Canis lupus familiaris: one gene and its partners. The protein of the gene in region 1 purifies or fractionates together with the protein of each later gene. This does not show direct contact. Links are inferred from orthologs where the notes say so. Each region holds a gene or a part of one and is shown in the gene's direction. Other genes may lie near its edges.

What was found. Proteins that work in one complex are often made in the same cells at the same time.
Region 2: the proteins of SRSF3 (region 1) and LARP1 purify together in Homo sapiens (co-immunoprecipitation; 3 studies listed by BioGRID and IntAct, with this or other methods). This does not show direct contact. The link is inferred for Canis lupus familiaris from reciprocal best matches to the Homo sapiens genes SRSF3 and LARP1.
Region 3: the proteins of SRSF3 (region 1) and NCBP3 purify together in Homo sapiens (co-immunoprecipitation; 3 studies listed by BioGRID and IntAct, with this or other methods). This does not show direct contact. The link is inferred for Canis lupus familiaris from reciprocal best matches to the Homo sapiens genes SRSF3 and NCBP3.

What each region holds. Positions count from the first base shown.
Region 1 is NC_049233.1:5,860,274-5,865,807, forward strand, and holds part of SRSF3 (serine/arginine-rich splicing factor 3), read left to right. Parts: coding exon 1-102; intron 103-1,437; coding exon 1,438-1,572; intron 1,573-3,757; coding exon 3,758-3,796; intron 3,797-4,059; coding exon 4,060-4,146; intron 4,147-4,310; coding exon 4,311-4,338; 3' UTR 4,339-5,534. UniProt on the Homo sapiens protein: Splicing factor, which binds the consensus motif 5'-C[ACU][AU]C[ACU][AC]C-3' within pre-mRNA and promotes specific exons inclusion during alternative splicing.
Region 2 is NC_049225.1:55,873,564-55,879,657, reverse strand, and holds part of LARP1 (la-related protein 1), read left to right. Parts: intron 1-45; coding exon 46-174; intron 175-250; coding exon 251-457; intron 458-557; coding exon 558-720; intron 721-1,640; coding exon 1,641-1,785; intron 1,786-4,878; coding exon 4,879-5,053; intron 5,054-5,166; coding exon 5,167-5,336; intron 5,337-6,094. UniProt on the Homo sapiens protein: RNA-binding protein that regulates the translation of specific target mRNA species downstream of the mTORC1 complex, in function of growth signals and nutrient availability.
Region 3 is NC_049230.1:47,578,005-47,584,098, reverse strand, and holds part of NCBP3 (nuclear cap-binding protein subunit 3), read left to right. Parts: intron 1-124; coding exon 125-233; intron 234-2,596; coding exon 2,597-2,696; intron 2,697-2,988; coding exon 2,989-3,092; intron 3,093-4,886; coding exon 4,887-5,178; intron 5,179-6,094. UniProt on the Homo sapiens protein: Associates with NCBP1/CBP80 to form an alternative cap-binding complex (CBC) which plays a key role in mRNA export. NCBP3 serves as adapter protein linking the capped RNAs (m7GpppG-capped RNA) to NCBP1/CBP80.

The sequences.
Region 1 (5,534 bases):
ACTCCGAAGTGTGTGGGTTGCTAGAAACCCTCCCGGCTTTGCTTTTGTTGAATTTGAAGATCCCCGAGATGCAGCGGATGCTGTCCGAGAGCTAGATGGAAGGTAATTTGATGACTAATTTATACTGATAAATAACGTGGTTTGTGTTTTTAATGTATAAAGTTCTTAGGATTTGTGGCTTTTAGATGGGTGCTTGCCTGTCGGAAGTTTGTCGTTAGAGACATAAGTCTTTGCTGTAACGAAAAAGCACAACAGTTTTATTCAGGTGACCAGTGAGGTTTAATGGTCAATTCTTGGTGGGTGGGTTTTTGTATCCAAAATGTGATTAAAGCATTTTAATCTATACCTTCCACATGGTGTCCTCTTTTGAATTTTCTCTGAAACCATTGGAAATCAGATATTCAAATAATAATGACCACAAACTTGGCAGCTGGGTGGCTCAGCGGTTTAGCGCCACCTCCAGCCCAGGGCCTGATAATGGAGACCCAGGATCAAGTCCCACATCAGGCTCCCTGCAGGGAGCCTGCTTCTCCCTCTGCCTGTGTCTCATGAATAAATAAATAAATAAAATCTTTTTTAAAATGGCCACAAACTGACGGTTGTAAGTGGATGGTTACATTGGGGTTTATTATAACCTCTTTAATAAATGTGTTTGAAATACTTAGTAAGTGTGGAATATGTAGTTATTTCATTTTGTGTCCTATTACTGGCTGATGAGTAACTCTTAGAGGAACCAGGTGGCTGCCCTTATCCCCCTCCTTCCTGGTCTTTGAAAAACACTGGATTTCATGAGACCAAGGGAAATGATGGATCTTAATCTTTAAGATCCAAAAAGTTAAAGGGTTTAGGATTGGCTTTAAAATTGTATGAAAGGTCATTTATCCAGGCAGGGCAGATCATAGAGACCCATTTTTCCAGGACTCCACTTTTTCCAAATCACTGTCCAAATAATAGTGGTTTATCTAAACAGATGTGTAACAATGAAGAGGTGAGGGAGAACTTTCCCAACTATTCTCAGCTGTAGTTTCCTGTCAATTATTGTGGCCGTTGAAAGGAGATGGTGATGTAAAATGGCCATAATGCTTTGGTTCCCTGCTGTTGCTTGGAGAGAGAGAGAGGAGAAAGACAAGCAAATACAGTTTAAGATTAATAAAAAAGTGGTGGGATCATGAAGTCCCAGCAGGATGTACAGATGAGCTAGTTCTTGGAGTCCAGGGGTTTTCACACTTGAAATGTTGACAACACTGAATTCTGATTAAGACTAACAAAGCATTAAAATGTAAAGAAGTTTTTCTTTATTAGAAATACTTGTTTTGCTGTTAGGATTTTACAGACATTCGTAAGTGTACTTTGCAAAGAAGCTATAAGTAGAAACACTTTGCTTTAATACACCTCTTAGTCTGGCTCTTTTAAGTTTAATATTTCTTTTATTCTTAGAACGCTGTGTGGCTGCCGAGTAAGAGTGGAACTCTCGAATGGTGAAAAGAGAAGTCGAAATCGTGGCCCACCTCCTTCTTGGGGTCGTCGCCCTCGAGATGATTATCGGAGAAGGAGTCCTCCACCTCGGCGCAGGTACTTGAGAGCGTGCTTAGAGGTATTGGTGTAATGGAGTAGCTAATGGGAGCAGGTATTTCTCTTAAAGTTTGTTGGTGGGTTTTAAACTTGGAAGATTGGAGATTTTTACGAAACATTTGCTGGGTGTAGTTTGGGGTATGTGAGTTGTGCTGAGTGTTGGCTTTTGTCTTTAGGTCACTGTTCATGTTGGTAGTCAGTAACTTCTATCTTGGATCTATCTTCTAGTTCATCTTCTAGTTGCATCTTTCCAAGTCTTCCCTTATACTTCAATTAGGCCTTTTTCCATTTCTTGACTCCATAATGACAAACATTACATTCAACTAGCTCTTCACAAAAATGTGTTTTCTACTATTAGCACGATTGTAGTATTTATCAAGCAGGCAGCTGTTGTAATGTTACAACTGGTAAAGTAGAAATCATTCTGAAACTAAAGTCACTGACCGATAAAGGGGGCTACAGAAGTAATCCCAGTCATCTGTTCTTCAAACCCAAATAGGAGAGATTTCAGTTTTTTTGTAATTGAAAAATGGCATCATTCTTGGACCAGGCAGTATTGTCTGGATGCTAACTCCACATCTCCTCAAACCTCCAAAAATAGTTTCTATAAGGACTGAATTTTACCTCTTACAGGTGAGTGAAGTCCTTCTAGGAGATAGGAGTTCAAAATCTTGCCCCTTTTGCTATTTTGAAAAACAAAACAACACACTGTTGCCCATCATAATAAAGAGTATTTGTTAGCTAAATAGATGGTTGTACTGATGGCTTGTTTTTCATTTTTTTTTTGTGCTTTTTGGTCCATCTATTAATAAAAATGAACCCCGTTACAGAGTCACCATCATGTCTCTTCTCACCACCCTCTGAGTCTGCATTAGCCAGTCAACTAGCCCTTTCAGCGTCATGTGACCAGCGCGCCCCATTCAGCTTGGCTGGTGTCGTTTCACATGACCCAGGCATGGCCAGTCGTCAGGTTGCACCGCCCTTTGGTTCCCGAGCATGCTGTTTTCTCTCAGCCTTCTCTCCAACCTTAACCAAATCGGCAGCAGCCACCTCGACCGCCCACACATTCCTGGCCAATCAGCTCAGCTGTTTATTTACCAAATGTCTTCACAACAACTACAGCAGCAGCCTTCGGCTAACAAAAAAGCAGGAAAAATCCACAACACCCCCTTCGCCAACCAACTAAATCCAACGCAACATCTGGCAAAACCTTTTCAGCAAATTCTTCCTGGCCGTCAGTCCGGCAGCCTCACCTCACCATTTCTAGCTTGTTGAAACCCAAAACTAGTAAGTTTTTCCTGCTTATACAGTTTACTGCTGGTTAAAATAAGGAGTAAGCGGCTTAAAGTAATTCTTTTTTCTGGATCAAAGGCTGGCTGTGCATAATTGAATGGTAACGTACATATATATTGCTTGAATAAAACTTTTAAGGGTGATAGGGAACTCATAATGTAACTAGACCTTCAAGTGAAACTTATTTGCATGTGTGAGATGCCAAACTAAAAATTTTAATAACTCTAACAGATTTAGCTTTCCTTTCTAGCAAAAATTTGTTGAATCCTATCACCTTTAAATGGTTTTACTAACAGTTTTCAAAATTTAAATTTTGGGGGTAAAGTGGGCCAAGCTAAGGTAATTTTTATGAACCTAAACACACTCTTAAATGTGACGATCACAAATGCAGTTCTAATGTAGCACTTAATGGCATCAGTATTTACACCTAGCGCGTTTTCACAAAATTACACTATCCACCTGGTACCTAAGTCTTGTCATGGACTTATAGGTTTGCATGGGTTCCAAATACTGGTTTATGGTACTGTTTTTGGAACTACTTGTGGGACTATATTTTGGCGTGGTGTTTGGGTAGTGAAGTTAGTTTGACATGAAGTTTTGCATTGGACAGATCTGCTGTGAAGCATTCTTTGTTAAAGTGAGTCCATGGTTGGAATACCTGCTTTTCACTTGAGCTTTTGGTTCCTTAATCCTTCTGTGCCTTTTTTCTTTTCTGTTTTTTTTCCTGTTTTTTTTTTTAATTTGGTTTTGTTTTATTTTGTTTTTTTGGACGATGGGTGCCAGTTCTTCGGCACGTTCACTGGGCCCAACAGTGAGATTGAAAAGTTGGGAAATGCCTCACGCCATAAATACTAATTGACAATTAGCCTAATTTTCCTGTTTCTGCTTTTAGATCTCCAAGACGGAGAAGCTTCTCCCGCAGCCGGAGCAGGTAAATAGCTCTTTTTTTTTTTTTTTTTTGGCCGTGTTCTCAGAAGTGACAGCATTTCCTGTTCTTAAACTGTTTTCTAAATGGCATGGTTAGTGGTAAAAAAAAAAAAAAAAAAAAAAAACTTTAGCTTTAGTAATGAATCAAGTGGTCTACAGAGTGAGCCAGTGTTGTAGGAATGAGCCAACTTTTAGTTTTTGAAGAGTTCTTAAGAGAGGTTTGTTGTGTATAATTCTAAGTGGGTCCTATTTTTCTTCTGGTTTTAGGTCCCTTTCTAGAGATAGGAGGAGAGAGAGATCACTGTCCCGGGAGAGAAATCACAAGCCGTCCCGATCCTTCTCTAGGTCTCGTAGGTAAGACCTTTAATGACTTAGACTGTTTATAAACTATTAAAAACAGGAATTGGTTATCTTAAACCATTTTGATTATTTTTATTATTTTTCAAAAACAAAAGTCCGATACAGTTGTATTACTGAGTTATGTATGAAACTTTCCTTTTTTTTTTTTTTCTTTTTAGCCGATCTAGGTCAAATGAAAGGAAGTAGAAGACCAGATTACAAGAGGATTGGTGTACAGGAAATAACTTCATTTGACAGGAGTATGTACAGAAAATTCAAGTTTTGTTTGAGACTTCATAAGCTTGGTGCATTTTTAAGATGTTTTAGCTGTTCACATTTGTTTGTCTCTTGGAACAGTGACACATAAAGATGTATTTCTCTATGATTTGAATGGATCATATGAGGCATGTAATACCAAGAATTGTTACTTTACAATGTTCCCTTAAGCAAAATTGAATTTGTTTTGAAGTTCAGTCTTACATTGACTGATAATAAACCTCTAACTCTGCCCAGCTAAAGCTTGACATTTAATATTATGAAAACAAAGCCGGCAGAAATTGAAAGAAGAGTCTCTCACATAGCTGGGCTATATTCTGCAGCTGGAGTTGAAGAAGCAGTCTTTAAAAGCTGGTATGAGCACAAGCCAGCAGGTAAAAATTTAAGCTGCACTGTTAAGCTAGATTAGAGGTTTAAAGAAAAACTAGTTTTCATACTGGGCAGGCGTTGTCCAGTTGGTGTAGAATTGGAAGTTTCAAGAAAGTTAGTTTACCTTTGCTTTTAGGTCATAAGTTTCTTATGTGATTGCTGTATGTGAACACACAGCTCTTTGTAACATTCTCTATTTGGTGATTTGAAACTACTCAAGATACCAGTGTCCTGCCAGTTTAAGGGTACATTGTAGAGCTGAACTTTGAGTTACTGTGCAAGATTTTTTTCATGCTGTCATTTGTAATATGTTTGTGAAAATCCTTGGGATTAAAGTTTTGGTTACAAATTGTTGTTTAACCTGAAAGCCTATTTTTCCTTGCAAAACTAAAATCTGTGAGCTTGGTATCAAGTCCAGGTATAACATTCCTATTGGAAGCCATACTTATATTTTCTTGTAAAGTGCTTTTGAATTAATAAAATATTAGCATAATTGTGTAATAGTCAAACCCACTATTACCATAGTTCTTGTCCCACGGAAATCAGTTGGTTACACAGATCTTAGAAGAAACAATTGAGGCTGAAGGGAATTTTTGGTTGTCACCTAAGTGACTATTCATACTTAACCATATTTTAGGAGTAGGAGCCAGTTCAAAGACCATGATACTCTGTGACCAACATTTTTAAAGTAGAGCAACCCTGGTACATTATAACTGAAAGTGACCCATTAAAAACTTTTATCATTAGCATGAGACTTT
Region 2 (6,094 bases), on another chromosome or scaffold:
GGGACCTCTCTTAAACCTTCTTCATGTGCCCATGCTGTTGTCCAGGGAACAAACACAAGTGGGTTCCGTTGCAAATAGACATGAAACCTGAAGTGCCCAGAGAAAAACTGGTCTCACGCCCTGCTCGCCCTCCAGAGCCACGACACACACCTGCCAACCGAGGGGAGATCAAAGGTATGTACCACCCACTGTGGAGGGCCTGGGCATGGGGGTCACCCTCAAGCGTGACCCAGTGCCCCTCTCCCCATAGGGTCTGAGCCTGCCACCTACGTGCCCGTGCCCATGGCCCCCCCCACCCCAGCCTGGCAACCAGAGACCAAACCGGAGCCTGCCTGGCACGACCAGGATGAGACATCGAGTGTGAAGAGTGATGGGGCTGGTGGGGCGCGGGCTTCCTTCCGTGGCCGTGGACGGGGGCGCGGTCGCGGCCGGGGACGCGGCCGGGGTGGCACTCGAAGTACGTGAGGCCCCTTTGGGCTCCGGGATGTCCGAGGGAGTGTGGCGGGGGCGGTGGGCAGGGATCTTCTCTCCCTTATGGCACCCATTTCCCCCCATAGCCCATTTTGACTACCAGTTTGGCTACCGAAAGTTTGATGGTGCAGAGGGGCCTCGTACCCCCAAGTACATGAACAACATCACCTACTACTTTGACAATGTCAGCAGCACTGAGCTTTACAGTGTGGACCAGGAACTGCTCAAAGACTACATCAAGCGACAGATGTGAGTGGACAGAAGCCTCCTTCCTGGAGCGATGCATAGGGTTGGGACCTGTCATGCTGGGTAGAGTAGGGATTGGCAGGTCCTTCTGGTGCTATGGTAGCAGCATATCCTGCACCAGCAATCTTTGGTTGCCTTTGGCTGGAGCTGAGAAAGATAACCAGCACTTACCCTTTAAAAGTTAAATTTTCATAAAGATAATATTGCAAAAGTAATATCGTATTTGCTTTAAGAAATTTAGAAATTACCAGTGATAAAAAGGAAGGAGGAATGTCCAGAGTCCACCCCCTTCTGCACTTGTCTGTGTTAATGGCAACATGGTCAGAATGCTAGCAAACACCTGTGGAGTACTCCCTGTTAGTGAGGCCCAGTGTTAAGCGCTTTACAGGCATTCTCTCTTGCTTGGTCCTACACTTATCTCATTCCTATGAGCTGGGTGTTAACTCCATTTCAGGGATGAGCACACAGACCCAGGAACTTACCCAGAGTCTCAGAGCTAGTAAACAACAAGGCACAGATTTGAATCCATTTCCGCCTGATGTGGAACCCTAGCTCCAAACCAGTCCTATAGATTGTCCCTCAGTCTAGTTGGGGAGCCGTACAAGGAAGTGGATCATTTCGGTAGAGTGTGATAGTGTTTTAGGAGAAGAGAAGGTGACCGGTGACAATGGAACTGGGTTTTAATGGTGGATGAGGGGTTTGCCAGGCCTACAGAGAGGCTGAAGGGCCGGGGGAGTGGGTCTAACCTGAGGCGAGGGAGCCATGACAGGGTAACATCTCTTTCCAGCCCTTGATACTGTCCGTACGATAGGGTCAGGGTCGGTAAGAGGCTATGTGAGGTGGCCGGGGGTGGGGGGGTGTAGGACGAAAAAGGCAGACTCCTAAGTGACGCAGCAATCTTCTGTCTTCTCCTCTCCACCCAGCGAATACTACTTCAGCGTGGACAATTTAGAGCGAGACTTCTTCCTGCGACGGAAAATGGATGCTGACGGTTTCCTTCCCATCACCCTTATTGCTTCCTTCCACCGAGTGCAGGCCCTTACCACTGACATTTCACTCATCTTTGCGGTAGGTCTCCCTCCCTGGGGCTGGGGTGCAGGGGAAGGAAAGGTCCTTACTTATGGAGTTGGAGTGTGGGCCCCGGCAGAAAACCCTGGAAGAGTCCTCATCTGATGACTTCTGCTAAAGCTTCAAGGCTTGGCCAGCCTCTCTGCCTCCCTTCTCTCCTCTTTCTCCCTCTTACTGTGGAAAATTGCAGACATTTACAGAAGTAGACAGAATGGTATGATGAACCCATCGCCCAGCCTCAGCAATTACCAACTCATGGCCCGTCTCACTCCATCTATCCCCCATCTGTTTCCTCTTCCAAATTACTTTGCAGAAAATCTCAGGTAACCTGACATTTCATCCATGTTTTAGTACTTATCTCTAAAAGATAAATACCTGATAAAAAATGTAATCACTATATCATAATCCCATGTAAAAATGTTAATAATTCTTTAATATGTCTAAACAGTTGCGAACTCTCCCCATTTGTCAAAAAACATTTTTGTATTTTATGAGAATCAGGATTCAAAGAAGACCCATGTGTTGCCTTACTAAGTCTCCTCTTCCCTTCTCTTTTACTCTGCAATTTATTAATTGGAATAAACTGGGTTATGTAGCTTGTCAAATTTCTCATGGGCCACAAGTGATGTCCTCTAACATGTTCTTCTGTATTCCTCCAGGAGCCTGATCAGATTCAGGTTTGGGGAGTTTCCCTCCCCTCTTTGTCAAGAATCCTTTATAGAAAAAAAAAAAAAAAAAAAAGAATCCTTTATAGATAATGATATGTTCTCTCAGGTGGCACAGAGCATTTCATTTGTTCTCTCTCCTGATGCAAGCTGCTGTTGATGACCCCTGCCTGTTATTTCATTAGGGATTGTGAAATGGTGAAATTCTAATTCTATCGATCTGTCTTCATTTGTTAGCTGGAATGCCTCTTTAAGGAGGAACTTTGCCTCATCAGCTATTCAGTTACCAAGACGTATGGTTTGTACAGAAAGAGCAGATAAATACTTGATCTTTCCCTTTGTTAACCGATTGTCAGAATTATGAGTTGATTCCTGATAACTTTACGGGTTGTGGGTTCAGGTGTGGGGTTGTTTTGCTTTAGTGTCTTTTAGTATCATCACAAACCTGTGGATTCAGACATCCTGTAGTTTCAGCCCATTGCAGTTCATAAACTGAATCTAGTTGTCCCATCTGGAGTTAGAGGAATCCTGGTTGATCTGGTACATTTCCTGCCTCAGATCTGGAATAGGCTTTTTTTCAAGGAGCTTTAGATCCTCTTTTGGGGAAATGATATTTATATACCACACAGTTGGAGTTATAGGGATGTTCATTGCTGCTTTGATTGATCATTGTTTCTAGAGCTGCTTTTTTTTATTTTAAAGATTTTACTTACTCATCAGAGAGAGAGAGAGAGAGATAGGAAGAGGCAGAGACACAGGCAGAGGGAGAAGCAGGCTCCATGCAGGGAGCCCGACGTGGGGCTTAATCCCGGGTCTCCAGGATCACACCCCAGGCCAAAGGCAGCGCTAAACCGCTGAGCCACCCAGGCTGCCCTGCTTCTTTTTTTTTAAGTACGTCAGGAGATCATACTGAAATTTTCTATTAAAGTTCAGGACTACAAGGACTTTATAACACCAATGACCTTTTATTTGTAATACTTTTGTACCCCAAATCCTAATGCTGATGATGACCTCAACATAATTACTCATTTTGTTTTATTCAATAGTTTGTATACCTTATTCTTATAATAATACCTCTACTACTACTAAAAACAGGGTTTTTTTCTACTTAAACACTCAAATGACTGTTTTCAAGTACTGGAATGATCTTTGTATGGTTATGTTTTTAATTTGATGTGTATTAGTTTCGTTAGTTTCATTTAGCTCTCAAGTTTTAGGGATTGCTTTTTCCCCTCCAATTTCTAATTGTTTTGCACTTAGGTAAGACATTTGCATGACTGTAAAATCAACATGGTATATTCCTAGAAGACCGACTTAAAATTCTCTCTTAAAATTCTCCTTTTTCCTTTTATTCCCTTATAGGCAATTTGTTTCAAATCCTTTGTTTAAAAAAATAAGCAAATGCCTCTTCCTGTATTTGTATCCTTTTCCTCTCTTAGATGGCAACATATAGAGCATGTATTTCTTTACCTGTTCTTTTGTTTTCAGTTAATACATTTGGGTGCTGACTGCATAGTAGTACATAAGAGAAAGATGCTCTTCATTCCTACTTAGACTTGCATATATATCTTTTCATATTTTTGCCAGCGTATCATTGATGTAGATTTATAGAAGTGAGAAGGCTGCACTACAGGGCAAATTGCTGGGTTCCCTTTCTTCAGGGGGCTGTGCCTTTGCACTTCTGACGGCAGTAGAGCAGAATGCCTGTTGCACTGTTGAAATGTTTCCCATTTCCACTAAAAGGATTTTTAAAGACAAGTCTCCTCTCTTCTCCACTCTTCACCCTTTTTCCTAGAGATAAGTAAGCACCCATAGCAATTTACCTGTGAATCCTAGAAAAATGTGTATGTGTTTGTAAGTTTTTATTTAAAAATTCAAACACCAGTGGTATCTTAGGCACATTGACCTACACCTGTTTTGTTTTTTTGTTTTTTTTATGGCTCTTTCCACCTCAGCACATGTGAAGCTGTTTTTAATGTGAGTAGTATACCACTGAATAGAGAGGCCGTTACTTATTTTAAATGATCTATATGGTGGCAAATTAGGTAGTTTCCAGTTTTTTCCATATTACAGACTGTTGCTATGAATGGCTTTTTTTTTTTTTTTTTTTTTATGAATGGCTTTTTATCCACATCTTACACATAATGTAATCTATCTGTGGCCCTGTTTCTCTGGGGGCGGATGAATGGATATAGAATGAATGGCAAAGTCAAAGGGCAGGTTATGTTTTTCACGGTGGTGCCCTCCTACAAGTTTGAACATCTCGTCTGTCTGCTAGTTGTGGAAGATGGTGCCAGTTTTCTTATACTCCTGCCAGCACTAGACTCCTTCCTGAGTTCATGGGGGCCAGCCATTCGTCTGCCAGCTTCTGAGACCTCATTCTTTCCAAGTCTTTTCTTTGCATAGACTCCTTCCTTCTCCCCTGCAGGCCCTAAAGGACAGCAAGGTGGTGGAGATCGTTGATGAGAAAGTCCGCAGGAGGGAGGAGCCGGAGAAATGGCCTCTTCCTGGTCCCCCCATAGTTGATTATTCCCAGACTGATTTCTCCCAGCTCCTCAACTGCCCCGAGTTTGTGCCCCGCCAGCATTACCAGAAGGAGACAGGTAGGTACTCTGGGCCTCGAGGTGCCTTCCTGTTGTCCTCCAGCCAACAGTCCTTAGGGTTGTCATCGAGAGGACAGCTGGAAGGTTGAGGACCTCACCTTTCCACCCTTCAGAGTCAGCACCTGGTTCTCCCCGTGCAGTCACCCCGGTGCCAACCAAAACAGAAGAGGTCAGCAACCTAAAGACGCTGCCCAAGGGCCTGTCTGCCAGCCTGCCTGACCTGGATTCTGAGAACTGGATTGAAGTAAAGAAGAGGCCGCGGCCGTCCCCAGCGCGGCCCAAGGTGGGTGGGCTGTGGGACTTGGAGGAGCTAAGCCGGAAGGCCGGCTGGCTCCGGCTTATGGCTCGAGTCGAGGTCAGCAGTGACCGTGGGAAAGCTGGTGGGTCCTTGTCCTTTTTCAGTGAGGATCATGTCTCAGGACAGGCCCCGGTTGTGGGAGTTCCTGAGTGGCATTCTTCGTGGGAGGAAATCCTCTGGCTTCTGGCAGTAGTGTCCCAGCTTTCTTGGTGTTTGGCTCTTTGTCTTGCCCCATTGAAATCAGTGGGGCTGTTGTAGTGCCTGAGTGTGTTTTCATTGTCCCCTAGATAAGCCATTCACGCCCTCTGAAGAGGAAAGGGAAAGGGAGCAGACACATGGCCTGGATGTAGAGTTAGTCTAGAGAGAAGAATACAGGTCTTCTGTCACTGATGGGTATTGACCTTGGGCAGCTTGGTTAATATCTCAAGTTTTCAGTGTTTCCATCTTCAGATGAAGGAGAGAAGGGCTTAGACTGCCCTAGAAATTGTAAAGCAATATGCCAGTAGTACACATTGAGAAGTGTTTCCATTTCAAACTAAAACTAGTGCCCCCTTTCCAGGAGCAGTTATGTGCTCCATCTACCCCATTCCTCACCTCCCCTTTGGAGATCTCTTTGGTCTGGGGCTTGTGAGGAGGTCTCCTAGACCTTGGACTTTGGGTCTCTGAAATTCTGTCTCCTTTTCCATTGTGCTGCTATGACTGCCTCCCTCTTGTTCATACCCTCATACTCTGACTTCCCTGTC
Region 3 (6,094 bases), on another chromosome or scaffold:
TGTTTTGTTTTGTTTTGTTTTGTTTTAAGAATTGTTAAAAATGCTTTCTCGATAGTGGCTTTGCTACTGAATAAATATGAAAGAAAATGTAATTTTTGTATTGAAAATGCTCTTTTTTCTTAAGTTGGACACATTGTCTCAAGTAGAAGAAGAGTCTCTGCTAAGAAATGATCTTCGTCCAGCTAACAAACTTGCAAAAGGAAATAGGTTATTCATGAGATTTGCTACAAAAGGTAAATGTGTTATTTGGCATTAATTTTTAATTTTAATCTAAGTCATTTATTTTTGAGTGACATCCATCTCTTTTGAATATGAAGTTAGGTCAAGTAATCTTAGAGTCCCTTCAAACAATAATATTCTATGCTTGTGAAATGATGGCTTGCTGTCTGAGTTGAATTTCAGACTTTGAAGGTGAATATTAGCTATTTTTGCATAGTTTTTGTGATTTCTGGCTAAAGGAAGTTATTTTCTGCTAAAGCTAGTTTGTCCTCTGTACTGTTCAGTTTATCATCTGAACTACGAAAACATTTTAAAGTTATACTTTTTTATTCATCGTAGCAGTATCTTCCTGGACGTTGCTAATAGTGCCATTCTCTCAAAGGAGTTAAAAGCCTCTTAAGGGGATCCCTGGGTGGCTCAGCAGTTTAGCACCTGCCTTCAGCCCAGGGGGTTATCCTGGAGTCCCAGCATCGAGCCCCATGTTGGGCTTCTGCATTGGACCCTTCTTCTCCCTCTGCCTATGTCTCTGCCTCTCTCTCTCTGTATGTGTCTCATGAATAAATAAATAAAATCTTTGAAAAAAAGAAAAAATAAAAAAAATAAAAGCCTCTTCAATTTGTAAGACTCTCTGCACAGTGATTTTGGTGTGCATTAAAATATATATGAATTTTGAATATGGAATACTCCCTGGTTTATTTTTCTTGACTGAGACATGTTTAGACTATCAGCTCGTTATTTTATTTTTTTAAATTATTTTAAGATTGATTGATTGATTGATTGATTGATTGATTGATTTATGATAGAGAGGCAGAGACACAGGAGGAGGGAGAAGCAGGCTCCCTACCGGGAGCCCGACATGGGACTCAATCCTGGGACTCCAGGCTCGCGCCCTGGGCCAAAGGCAGGCGCTAAACCGCTGAGCCACCCAGGGATCCCCTCAGCTCATTATTTTATAGACTGCCTCTCAGTTTCTGTTTGTCTGATATCTCCTCCTGATTAAATCAAATTGTGCGTGTTAGGCAAGAGTACCACAGAAGTGCTGTTATATCATTTTCAGTGCATATGTCAGGAGACATGATATTTACTTGTCCCATTTATGGAGATGTTAACTTTTCTCACTTGGTTAAGGTTTCTCCTGTTTTTCCATTTGTTAATATAAAAATTTGTGGGAGGTACTTCAAGATTATGTAAATAGACTTTTGCTCATAATTCCACTCAGCATCCATTGATGACTTTTTAACTCTACATTTCTTTATTTGGCATTCTGCTTTGTAAGAAGTTTGCTCTTTTCTTTTCTTTTCTTTTCTTTTCTTTTCTTTTCTTTTCTTTTCTTTTCTTTTCTTTCTTTTCTTTTCTTTCTTTCTTTCTGTTTAGATTCATGAGTCTTATTCAGTGGGTTATCATTCATTCCTATCATTCATTTGATTTATGAATCTTCTTGGATTTGGCCAGTGGAGCCCCTTTAAGCTTTATTGTTTTGACATGCATTCATGATTCTTTGAGCATTTTCTTACTTTATGGCACAGTATAACATCTCGTTTTACCAGACTCGACTTGTACTTTCCCTGTCCCAGATCTGGAATCAGCCATTTCTCCAAGGAGCTAGTGGGCATGTTTTTTTTTAAAGGGTGCACTTGTTGGCTTGTGCCACTATTTACGTGTAGCACCAGATACATGTGTATTGGTATTCACCTTTTGTAATCCATGAGTGCCCCAGGAGCTAGCAAAGACCTGTTACGAAAATGTGTGTGATCACTGACCACCTTTTCTTTCTATTGACTGGCATTTTAACTTGACAAAAGTGATCTTTTCTATGTTTATAGAGTATCTTATTTGAATGCATTCTAAGTGAATGGTGCTATGCTGTTTTCTTTAAGCCATTTTGAGAACATCATGATAGATGGGAAAAAATGCTTTACCAGATATATGGAATTATGTATAGTCTCTTTCTTTAACATTAATTCTTTGTTATTGGAGTGTTGTCATTCAGAAATGAATGTCATCTTTCATGGAGACAGTGAAAATGCTACCTCTTCTAGAAAGCTTTTTTTATTCCCGCACAGCTATACTGACTGTAGCTCTCTTAAGCTTCTTAGAACTTTGTATGTTGTATTGTTGTTGTTGTTAGCAGTGTTTTCTCTATGAGGTCAGCTCCTTAACATTAGCTTAACTTCATTCATCTCTGTATTTTACTCCACCCCCTCTATACTGCTCTGCTTTTGTAGGCACTGAGAGTGAATATTTGTAGTGTATCTTTCCCTTTTGTTGGTAGATTGTGCTGATCTGATCCCAACTATGGAAAACATTTTTTTTAGCCATTCAACATTGTCTTCATACCAATGCAAAATCCTAGGTAACTGTCGTAATTAATTTTTAGATGACAAAAAGGAACTTGGAGCAGCCAGAAGAAGTCAGTATTACATGAAATATGGGAATCCAAATTACGGAGGCATGAAAGGAATTCTTAGTAATTCTTGGTGAGTCCAAAATTTTAAAATACAATTTTAAATAGTACCTAAGCTTTTCTTAATCCCTCAGTTGGTATTCTGCAGTGGAATGTCAGCACTATGTGTGGACTCAAGGAAGACAAGAAGAAAGTTCAAGATTCTTAACTGTGGGTTAAATGGTATGAAAGGCCAAGTTTTAGTTTCATGTAAAATGTCTGTTTCAGCACCTAACATTGCATCGGTGTACAGTTAAACTCAATTAGTGGATTTCAAGGTCCTTCCTATTGGTTTTTGATTATGTGCTTATTTTGGAATGTTGCAGGAAGCGAAGATATCATTCCCGTCGCATTCAGCGGGATGTGATCAAGAAGAGAGCCCTGATTGGGGATGACGTTGGCTTGACGTCCTATAAACACCGACATTCCGGTAGTTGCCTGCTCAGCTCTTGGGTAGACACATGTTTGGCTCCCGAAATCATATTCTTATTCTTAATACAGTCTTTTAAGGTTCCAAACTTTATCATCCTCTCTTCCTTGCCCTCACCCTCTGCCAACATATAGGAAAGTAAGTCAAGTCACAATTAATTTTAAATTGCCCATACAAAAGAGGTCAAATGATTTAATAAGAGCTGTTCTAACAAAAAGGGCCAAATGTGACATAGGAGAAATTGAAAGAAAATTTTCTGTAGCAATCTAATTTTTCTACTATTAATATCAAAAGCTGCATGAAAACTTTTTAAGTTATTTTATCATATGACTTGATTTTATGGTTTCTTTGATGTTGAAAATAGACTGCTACGTTTAGTGTTTTATGCTTATTGGCTTGTGTACACGAATGTCTCAGTTAAATGAGATATCACGACTTGGTTTCATTTTGTTTTTTGTTCCGTCCATCCTTTGTTCCTTTGTTTTGGTGCATATTATAAAAGAACCGTTTTCATTATGTTTTTATAAAGATTTGTTTTTATTTTTAATCTAACTTATAGAATTTTCTACATGCTTTGTAGAACTGCTAAGTCAGCATACAAACATAGGATAATATGCATACATGTTTATCATTGTAACGGACAGGTGAAGTCTCGTTTTTATTTAATGTATATATTCAAAATTGTATATTTGAAATCTGCATCTAAAAAATGCACATACTTTTCTGTTACAGTTACAGGTTATACCAATTTCAAATTCTAAGATATTTTATCATATAATCTTTAGATTAAAGAAATTGAAAAGCAAATCACCCCCTAATTCTAGCACTTTTATTATAAGCAACTTATTTCATTTTATATTTTCCTTATCTATTTTCATAACAAATATAATTGTTGTGAACATATATTTTTAGTCCTACTTTACAAGCATTTTTCCATGAACTCTAAAGTTACAGTTGATTTTTGTTATTCATGGTGGTTATGTTCTATAAAGTCACTGTGATCATTGATATAGTGAATACTAAAACATTCAGAGACTCTGGTCACCATTTTCATCAACTGATCAGTATATAACCTTCTTTGCTGTGTGTTTCTGTTTAAAGATAACTTATTAAATACATATTGTTGATTCATTAACATTGGACTCACAGCCAACAGCATTATAACTCATGCTTGAACAAAGCTTACTTAACACAAATTTATTCTGTAAGGCACATCACAGTCTTCTTGTGCTTAGAAACACTAGACAGCTTTGACACTATACCCGGAAGCCATTTTTTTAAATGTTTAAGTGAACTCACCAACAAAAGCCACAAAAATATGAAAAACATGGCACTTCATAGATTCCAAAAAAGGGCACTTGTTTACAGTATGAGAGCTGAAACAAGAAAGAGTGTTGTCTCATTTGACCTCGGCTGGGAATACGCACATCTGGTGACTCAATTTTTTTTTGACACTCTGTGCATGTCCACAAATGGCCATGAAAACACTGTGAGTGTTGATACAGAGTTACAAATAAATATGGCAGATTTGCAAATATAGAATTCACGAATAATGACAACTGTACTTTAGATAACTTTATAATATTCCATCAGGTTGCTAGATCATACTTTACCTAGCCAATCTTCTATTTTAGGTATCAGAATGGCAACTAGATTGGCACTAATACAGATAATACTCCAGTAAGATCTCGGGCACGGGAACACCACCTTTTAAAAAGGTCACCAATATAGAGCAGAAAATCAGATTCATTAATTTTAGTGCTTTTCCTAATGTTTTTTGGTTAAATTTCTTAGGACTAGTAAATGTTCCAGAGGAACCCATTGAAGAGGAAGAGGAAGAAGAGGAGGAGGAGGATCAGGACATGGATGCAGATGACAGGGTGGTAGTAGAGTACCATGAGGAGCTCCCAGCTCTCAAGCAGACCCGGGAGCGGAGCACATCTAGGCAGTCCAGTGCCAGCAGTTCAGACTCCGATGAAATGGACTATGATCTAGAACTGAAAATGATTTCCACTCCTTCACCAAAGAAAAGCATGAAAATGACCATGTATGCTGATGAAGTGGAATCTCAGTTGAAAAATATTAGGTGAAAATATTTTGTCTTTTTATCAATGCTTTTAATTTTGTTTTAAATACTAATTCCTAACTTCCTCTTAACTCTTAATTTTATAATTTTATCTGTTGCATCAGATTTTTCCTTTAAATATACAAGAATTAATCATTGTTATAAAAATGACAGTGCAGAAAAAAAATGACAGTGCCGAAAGTGAAAATCACCCATAATCTTATCCTTTCCTAAAATCATGACTTAGCAGTCGAGTGAATAACTTTCCTGCTAATTTTATGCATATACCTAACACATGGAGAAATTCCAGAGTTCTACAGAAATGAAGTTGTATTTATATTGTCTTGCAGTGTGCTTTTCCTGTTTAATATAGTGTAGATTTCTATTTTCTACAGAAATGAAGTTGTATTTATATTGTCTTGCAGTGTGCTTTTCCTGTTTAATATAGTGTAGATTTCTATTTTTTCATCCAGATATAGTCCTTTGTTTGAAAATATCATGATTTATTTGGTCAGTCCCTTATTGATAGACATTTAGGTTTCTATTTTCTTACTATTGGGATGCCTGGGTGGCTCAGCGGTTGAACATCTACCTTCGGCTCAGGGTGTGATCCTGGAGTCCCGGGATCGAGTCCCACATCAGGTTCTGTGCATGGAGCCTGCTTCTCTCTCTGCCTGTGTCTCTGCCTCTCTTTGTGTCTCTCATGAATAAATAAAATCTTTTAAAAAATAAAATTAAGGGATCCCTGGGTGGCGCAGTGGTTTAGCGCCTGCCTTTGGCCCAGGGCGTGATCCTGGAGACCCGGGATCAAATCCCACGTCGGGCTCCCGGTGCGTGGAGCCTACTTCTCCCTCTGCCTATGTCTCTGCCTCTCTCTCTCTCTCTCTCTCTCTATCATAAGAAGAAAAAAATTAAAAAATAAATAAATAAAATTAAA